Linked DNA regions of Oryctolagus cuniculus. The protein of the gene in region 1 interacts with the protein of each later gene in a pairwise test. Links are inferred from orthologs where the notes say so. Each region holds a gene or a part of one and is shown on either strand. Other genes may lie near its edges.

Region 1 (3,560 bases):
CCTATGGGTGCCGGTTCAAGTCCCAGCTGCCAGCCCTCTGCTATGGCCTGGGAAAGCGGTAGAAAGCATGGGAGTCCTGAAAGAAGCTCCTGGCTCCTGGCTTTGGATTGGCACAGCTCTGGCTGTTGAGGCCAATTGGGGAGTGAACCAGCAGATGGAAAACCTCTCTCTTTCTCTGCCTCTCCTTTCTCTCTGTGTAGTCTGCCTTTCAAATAAATAAATAAATCTTTAAAAGAAAATAAGTCCAACATTAAATGCTCTATCGGAAAACATATGTACTTCTATTTATATTTTAACTCTCAATTAAATTTCCTTTTATTTAGTGAGGATAAGTGTTCCTAGAAAATGCCCATATTTTAATGACTTGATATAAAATTTAAAATTTTAAATGTATATTTTAAGACATAACTACTTTTATACTCTGATTTTCAGTAAAAGCAATGAGGACTAGTAACACCTCTGAAATGACCATACATACAGAGGTCCTGACTTAAATGGTTGACCTTTAGGGGCCAGTGTTGTGGGGCAGTGAGTTAGGCTGCTGCTTGCAACACTACATGAGTACCAGTTTGAATCCAAGTTGCTCCAATTGTGATCCACCCCCCTGCTAACGTGTCTGAGAAGGCAGTGGAAGACAGCCCAGGTACTTGGGCCCCTTCCCACTCATGTGGGTGACCTGGGTGAAGCTCTAGGCTCCTGGCTTCAGCCTGGCCCAGCCCCAGTTGTGTGGTCATTTGGGGAGTGAGCCAGCAGAAGGAAGTTCTCTCTCTCTCCCCCTCTCTCTAACTCTGCCTTTCTAATAAATAAATCTTTTTAAAAACATAGTTTGACTTAGAATTTTGCAATTTTATAATGATGTGAAAGCAGTGTGGATTCAGTAAAAGCACACTTTGAATCTAATCTTCCCAATGAGAGTAGCATAACACTAGACAGTGACAGCTGCCATCAGGAGGGTATATAACAGATACTCTACTGTGTACTGTGTTGCTAAGCTATGATGTTTAGTAGGATAAGTATATTAAATGCATTTTTAACTTATTTCCAACTTAGTATTTCCAACTTAGAATGGGCTTATCGGGATGTAACCTCATCATAACTGGGGGAGCATTTGTACTCTGGCTGTGCTAGGATAAACACACATTGCCTGCTCTCAAGCATGTCTCATTCTTGGGGGTACCAAAGGTGTCCATGGGAATTATGATAGTGGAATAAATTGTACAATGCAAGCATGAACAAGGTATTATAATTTGTAAAAATTAAACTTTTTTTTTAAAGGAGTTCAAAACTAAGTTTATTTTGGAGGAGGAACATTGAAATCCATGAATAGTCTTTTCTTTTTTTTCCATAATATGCATTTTCCACTAACTTTAGGAAAACTCATCATTTCTGATCCAAATAAAAAAAACTCTCATTGTTTATCAAAGAAAATTGCTTTCAACGAACATAAAAACATTATAGTACAACACAGCAGTTTCTTGATACCAAAGACATATTATAACTATTCACTATCCTGACATGTATTGTCTACCCTACTTCCTTTTGTTCATCACCTATCCAAATCAGATTCATGTAGGGTGTATAAATAGAAACTTTCTAACAGAAACCTTGTAAGGCTGTATTTTTCTTATTAAAAATTAGCAATTAACATAATACTATCAGGATACTTTCTTTACCATGTGGAATCAACAAATGCCATTTTATTTAAACAGTCTAACTTACATAACTGTTGTTACTATTCCATTGCTTAAGTAAAGATTTGCATTCATTAGGAACTGATACCTGGCACTGTCAACTTTTTCTTAATTTTTCAAACTATTTGAGAGGCAAAGACAGCTAACTCCCATCCGCTGGCTCATTTCCCGAAGGCCTGCAATGCCTCTCAGCTGGGGCTGAAGCCAGAGCTGGGAATCCAACCACTTGATTTGTCATAGCTGCCTCCACAATCTGCACAGGCAGGAAGCTGGAGTCAAGAGCCAGAGCTGGGTATAGGCACGGTATGCGATGCTGGCATCCCAAGGAGCACCTAACTCCCAGGCCAAACACCGCCATAAAGCACCTTATTTTATAAAATGAGTGACAGGCTAAGCTATTCAACCCCAGGTCATACAACAGCTTTTTTTTTTTTTTTTTCTTTTTTTTTGACAGGCAGAGTAGACAGTGAGAGAGAGAGAGACAGAGAGAAAGGTCTTCCTTTGCCGTTGGTTCACCCTCCAATGGCCGTTGCAGCTGGCGCACAGTGCTGATCCGATGGCAGGAGCCAGGTACTTATCCTGGTCTCCCATGGGGTGCAGGGCCCAAGCACTTGGGCCATCCTCCACTGCACTCCCTGGCCACAGCAGAGAGCTGGCCTGGAAGAGGGGCAACTGGGACAGAATCCGGCACCCCGACTGGGACTAGAACCCGGTGTGCCGGTGCCGCAAGGCGGAGGATTAGCCTAGTGAGCCACGGCGCCGGCCACAACAGCTTTCTTTACCAACAGTTGAAGACTAAATTATGATCAGTTTATTCTTATTAAGAATGTCCCAAAGAATATTTCACAAAGATGTCCATGAGACACAGTTCAAGTCTGGAGTACAGAAGGCCCAATGCTGCTTTATCTAGAAACCCTGGGAATCTGACTTCATGAACCTACTATCTTAGCTTTACCAAGCTGGTATTAAAAGTTAATTTACATAGAGGACATACCTTTCTTTTTTATACAATTTTGCAGCATCTTTAACTTCTCTAAAAACATGGTCTACCTGACGGGTCAGCATGTCATGCTTCAGGCGCTCTAAGAGGTTAATCATATCATCAAAGACAGAGCTCTCCATAGAGGCAAGCTGTCCCAGCTGCAGTTTACTAAGAGTATTATTCTCTGCAAAGACTTCCAATGCTGCCTGTTGCAGTTGTAGAAAGAACTGAAAGCAAAAACATGTTAGCAGGTTTAGTAGCATTCTTTTTTAACAGCTTGAAACAGAATTCATATGACATACAATTCACCATTTAAAGTGCACAACTCAGTGGCTTTTAGTATATTCAGAGCTGTGTATCTGTCACCATAAGTTTAGAACACTGTCATTACCCTCCCCCAAAAGACTTATCTTTCAGCCCCAGTCCCCCCAGTCCCAGGCAGTCACTAATCTACTTTCTGTCTCTATGGATTTGGCTATTCTAGGCATTTATGTAAATGGAATTCTACAACATGTGGTTCTTTGTGATTGGCTTCTTTCACTTAGTATATTTTCAGGATCTGTCCACATTTTATCATGTAGTACTTAACTTCTTATTGTCAAATAATATTCCTTTACATGGAAATACCACTCTTTATCCAATCAACAGCTTAGAGACATTAGGGTTAGTTCTACTTTTTGTCTACTATAAAAAATGAATGCTGCTATGAATATTTATTACAAGTTCTTATGTGGACATGTTTTCATTTCTCTTGATATATACCTCGGAGCAGAACTGCTGGATCATATGTTGGAGGAGCTGCTAGACTGTTTTCCATTGCAGCTGCACAACCTTATATCCTCACAGGCTATATATGAGCATTCAAATTTCTCTATCCATGTTAACGT
Region 2 (4,136 bases), on another chromosome or scaffold:
TGGAAAGGGGTGGCAAAAGATTCTTAAGTCCAAATATTTTAAAACTTTTTTGATAGGTTTTCCTGAAACAGGCATTCAATCACTTCTTTAATGCTAAAAGTGTTTCTTCAAAGAACATTTCACAAAAAAGAGGCAACTTAATAAATGTCACCATTCAAATCCTCTTACCCCCTTAATGTATTCAAAGCTGAAATTTTTGTAGGGGTTCATCATCAGATTTCAAAGGTCATTCAACCTAGCACTTAGTGGGCTTGCTGTTATCAGAGTACTTTTTCAACTGGCGAGGAATCTGTAAAAGAAGCTACCCACCCACTGGCCTACACTTAAAAAAGAACTTAGAAACACTTCATCCTTGTCTGCTGATTTGGCCAAAAGGAATACAAGTAAACTGATCCGTGTTATTTATACAGCAGAAAGCTCTATTCAGTGAAATGCTGTCCTTAAAGGTATTTTCTCTATAAAGAAATCTTAACTTGGCTAGATGAAATCACACACCCCAAGTGGGTGTTTCTGAACTTGCTGGATGTATGGGGTGTTTCGGAGATGGTGAAACAGGTTGGGCTATCAGGTATTAGGTTAACTGGAAGTCTGAAAATTGTGTTTATCAACATAAGGTAGTTTTTTAAAATACTGCTTAAAGGAAGCCGGTCACCTTACATGACTGCACCTAGTCTTTTGTACCAACACGTATGGTATTTTACTACAATCTGGAATTCAAAAGCCTTTCCTAACAGGTTTGCTGGGTACGTATTTGAGGAACTACGGGGGGTTTATCGTTGATGCGGCGCCCAGGGGAGGCCTCGGTGGTGCCTGGGGGACACCCTGTCCTTTAGGGCACCCATGGCGTCTTTCTTGCAGCCGTTGCCTCCCACGGAGCATGCTCTGCACAAGCCACTGTTCCTGCTCCAGCTGCTGCTTCTGGCTCCTTAACTGGCTTTGAGTAGCCTCTAATTTCTGGGATTGCCGCATTAGCTGCCAGCATTCCTTGCGTAGCCGCTGGTTCTCTGCCTGGATGCCGTGGCAGAACTTCACCTCAGCCTGCTTTGCTGCCGACCTCAGGGCCTGCGTCTTCTCCCTGAGCGCCCTCCTTTCTTGCTTTCCCAAGTGCCTCACGTCTGGCTCATTCAGCTGCTCCTCCAGCAGGGCCTTTTCCTTGAGGAACTGGGCGTGTTTCTCGGCGGCGATCTGCGCTTCGATCTTGTTTTTCTCCTCCTGTAATTTCTGGATTTGTATGTCCTGTTTCTCCTTTAACAGCGAAATGTCTCTCAGATCCTGCAGCTGCTGCTTCAAATCGGCTTGTATCTTTTTCTTCTGCATGAGCTCTGCTTTAAGCACTGCAGACTTCTTGGCATATCTGGCGGCTAACTTCTGTCTCCCCCTTTTAATCTCTCGACTTTCCTGTATGTACTCCGTCCACAGCTTCACGGGCTCCTTCGCCAGCTCTTCCGTTTTCTTGGTCAGGTACTCCAGAAAGAACCTGTTTTCCGCCTGGAAGTGTAGCTCCTCCTCGTGCAGCTGCCTGGTGTCCTCCAGTAACAGCTGCTGCTGGGCTCGGGCTGCTTTAATCTGCGTGTCCAGCTCTCGCACCTTCGCCATTCTTCTTCTGATGCGCATCTCCGCACTTGTTAGCTTCTGGGGCTGGAGCAGATTATTTATTAGACTGAGGTACGACGGAGGGGAACTCCTGGGACCTTCGGCAAACCTGAAGGGAGAGCCCATGAGACGTGCCTCTGTCAGTTCTTAATGCAAATTTAAGCAATCATAAAAGATGCACAATTGTCCTTAATTAATACAGCGACTATTTACTTATTTGAAAGGCAGATTTCCCATCTGCTGGTTCACTTCCCAAATACCTGCCACAGCTGGGGCTCCATCCGCATCTCCCACGTGGGTGGCAGGGACCCAAGTATCTGGGCCACCAACTGCTGCCTCCCAGGCGCATTGCAGGAAGCTAGACTGGACGTGGAGTTGGAACTTGATCCCAGGCATTCAGATACGGAATGCTGGTGTCCCAAGTGGCAGCTCAACAAGTATTTTGGAGACCTACTACGTTCCAAACACTCTGCAAGCCACGGGAAATACAACCAGGGTTGAAGATGCTGGGGGTACCGCCGACAATTTGCAATAGGCATTCCCTGCAACCCCGCGGCGTAGTGTCCGTTTTAAAGAACAAGAAACCAGACGGCTGACCAGTGGCAGCGCCTGGGTATGAAACCCAGATCGTCGGACGCGGGACGGTGATGGGGAGCGGGGATACTTCTCGGGCTCCTTCATCCTCTTTCCGTGGCCGCACTCACTTGCTCCTGGAATCCAGCTGTTGACAGCGGTAGCTGCGCAGTTCTCGGAGGGTGGTCGCCGAGGAGCGCGCGCTGACGTCGGGGGTCGTGAAGGCGGAAAGGTCTTGCAGCTGCTCAGTCTGCGGCTCGACGGGTCTCCGCGCTGCCCAGCACCCCCAAGCGTCCCATTTAGCCCCCGCCCCGGTCAGCCCAGCCCTGAGCTGTTTAATCTCCTCGGGTGCCAAACAAGCTCTAGCAGGCGGCAGACCAGCGTCTTCGGTCCTAGCTCTTTGGGACCCCAAAATGAGACGTACGCCCCTCTTTTTCGTGTGGTGGGGGTTCGGCCCTTGGGAGCCCATCTCGTCTCCCGCTCCGAGGAGCCAGCGACGGGCAGTGCTCCTTTTTCGGCTCCGCTAGCCCTCTCCTCTCGCTTCTCTGCTCCCCTCACTTCTCTCCCGGCGTCACTAGCCCGCCCGCAGCAGAAACTCGGCACCCGCTGGCCGGCGCCTCTCGGCGGCGTTCGACTCTATTCTCCGCCCAATCTAGAACGTCGCGGAGGCCTCTCTAGCCACGCCGCGCCTCTGTGGTGAGGGGCGGGGCCTGAGCAAAGATGGCGGCGCTCGCGGCTGCGGCGGAGCCCCAGGCGTCCGGGGGTCCTCGGCCCCCCGTGTGCCTCTTGGTGTTGGGGATGGCGGGATCCGGGAAAACCACCTTTGTCCAGGTGACGCACACTGCGCGGGCGGGGTAGGGCAGCGCGAGAGGTGGTGGCGGGCAGAAGGCCAGGGAGAAAGCGACGGAAGTCCGTGGGGAGTTGGAGGACACCGGCGCGTGGTTTTCAGGGACTTCACCGAACTCCGGCTGCTTCGTGGGCTGAGGCATAGCGGACCCGCGCCTGTGTTCATTGAAGCCCTCTTCTGTGCACACTTGGTTCGACTTACCACGTTGTGTTGGAACTGTTTGCTGGGGAAGTTGCCAGCCTCTCGAAGGCAGACTCACAAGGCATGGAGTAGATAGATTCGGTGTTAACCCATTGGGTTTCGGTGAAGATTTGCGAAAAAAGTTATTTCTGGGGCCCCTCTCATGTTCCAGGCATGGGGGATACGGAGAAAATGCGGTTGACAAGGTTTTTACTTTCATGGAGGAGATAGAAAGATACTCGCCATATGGGTTTGCAATACAAGTTAATAAGTGGGCAAGAGTAGGGGAGGCTCTGTCAGGTGAGTGATAAGGAAAAGTAGCGTTTGAGCCGAGATTTGATGTTGGAAGCAGGGTGGATATTTCGGGTGGCTGGAGGGCGGTGGGTGAAGGAGTGGAAATGCCCTTCCTGATCACCCCCTCCTCCTCTCCCTCCCCCTCCCATCTTCCTGTCTGCAGCGGCTCACTGGGCACTTGCACAGCCAAGGTTCCCCGCCCTATGTGATCAATCTGGACCCGGCTGTGCACGAAGTCCCCTTTCCTGCCAACATTGGTGAGTACACTGTGCCCTAACGCAGAGAGGGGAACGCCTCCAGCCTGCCAGTCTTCAGGGACTTTTTTTATTTTCTGAACTTCGTACTTTTATCTCTCTTGGATGTTCTTCAGTCCCTAAACAGGCTTCTTTATAAAACATTCTCCTTTTTAAACACTGGCCTTTATCTAACGCCCAGGCTAAAGCTAGGAGCCAGGAACTCCATGCTGGCCTCCCATGTGGTGGCGGGGACCTAAGTGCTTGAGCCATCATCTGCTACCTTTTAGGTTGCTCATTAGCAGGAAACTGGATTGGAGGTAGAGGTGGGACTTGATCCCAGGCCCTTCCATATGGGGGGTACTTCCATATGTAGCACAGTCCCTTACCTGCTGCCCCACAGTGCCTGTGTCCCC

Evidence for each region. The genes of interacting proteins can lie anywhere in the genome.
Region 2: the proteins of RINT1 (region 1) and CCDC121 interact in binary tests that used the Homo sapiens proteins (3 or more experiments, as listed by UniProt). The two-hybrid records come from large-scale screens. The link is inferred for Oryctolagus cuniculus from reciprocal best matches to the Homo sapiens genes RINT1 and CCDC121.

The regions. Positions count from the first base shown.
Region 1 is NC_091434.1:138,792,327-138,795,886, forward strand, and holds part of RINT1 (RAD50-interacting protein 1), read right to left. Parts: intron 2,901-3,560; coding exon 2,686-2,900; intron 1-2,685. UniProt on the Homo sapiens protein: Involved in regulation of membrane traffic between the Golgi and the endoplasmic reticulum (ER); the function is proposed to depend on its association in the NRZ complex which is believed to play a role in SNARE assembly at the ER.
Region 2 is NC_091433.1:175,379,061-175,383,196, reverse strand, and holds the start of CCDC121 (coiled-coil domain-containing protein 121), read right to left. Parts: upstream 2,826-4,136; 5' UTR 2,636-2,825; coding exon 2,298-2,635; intron 1,703-2,297; coding exon 760-1,702; 3' UTR 1-759. Other genes in the region: GPN1 (GPN-loop GTPase 1), read left to right, coding at 2,887-2,997, 3,651-3,744.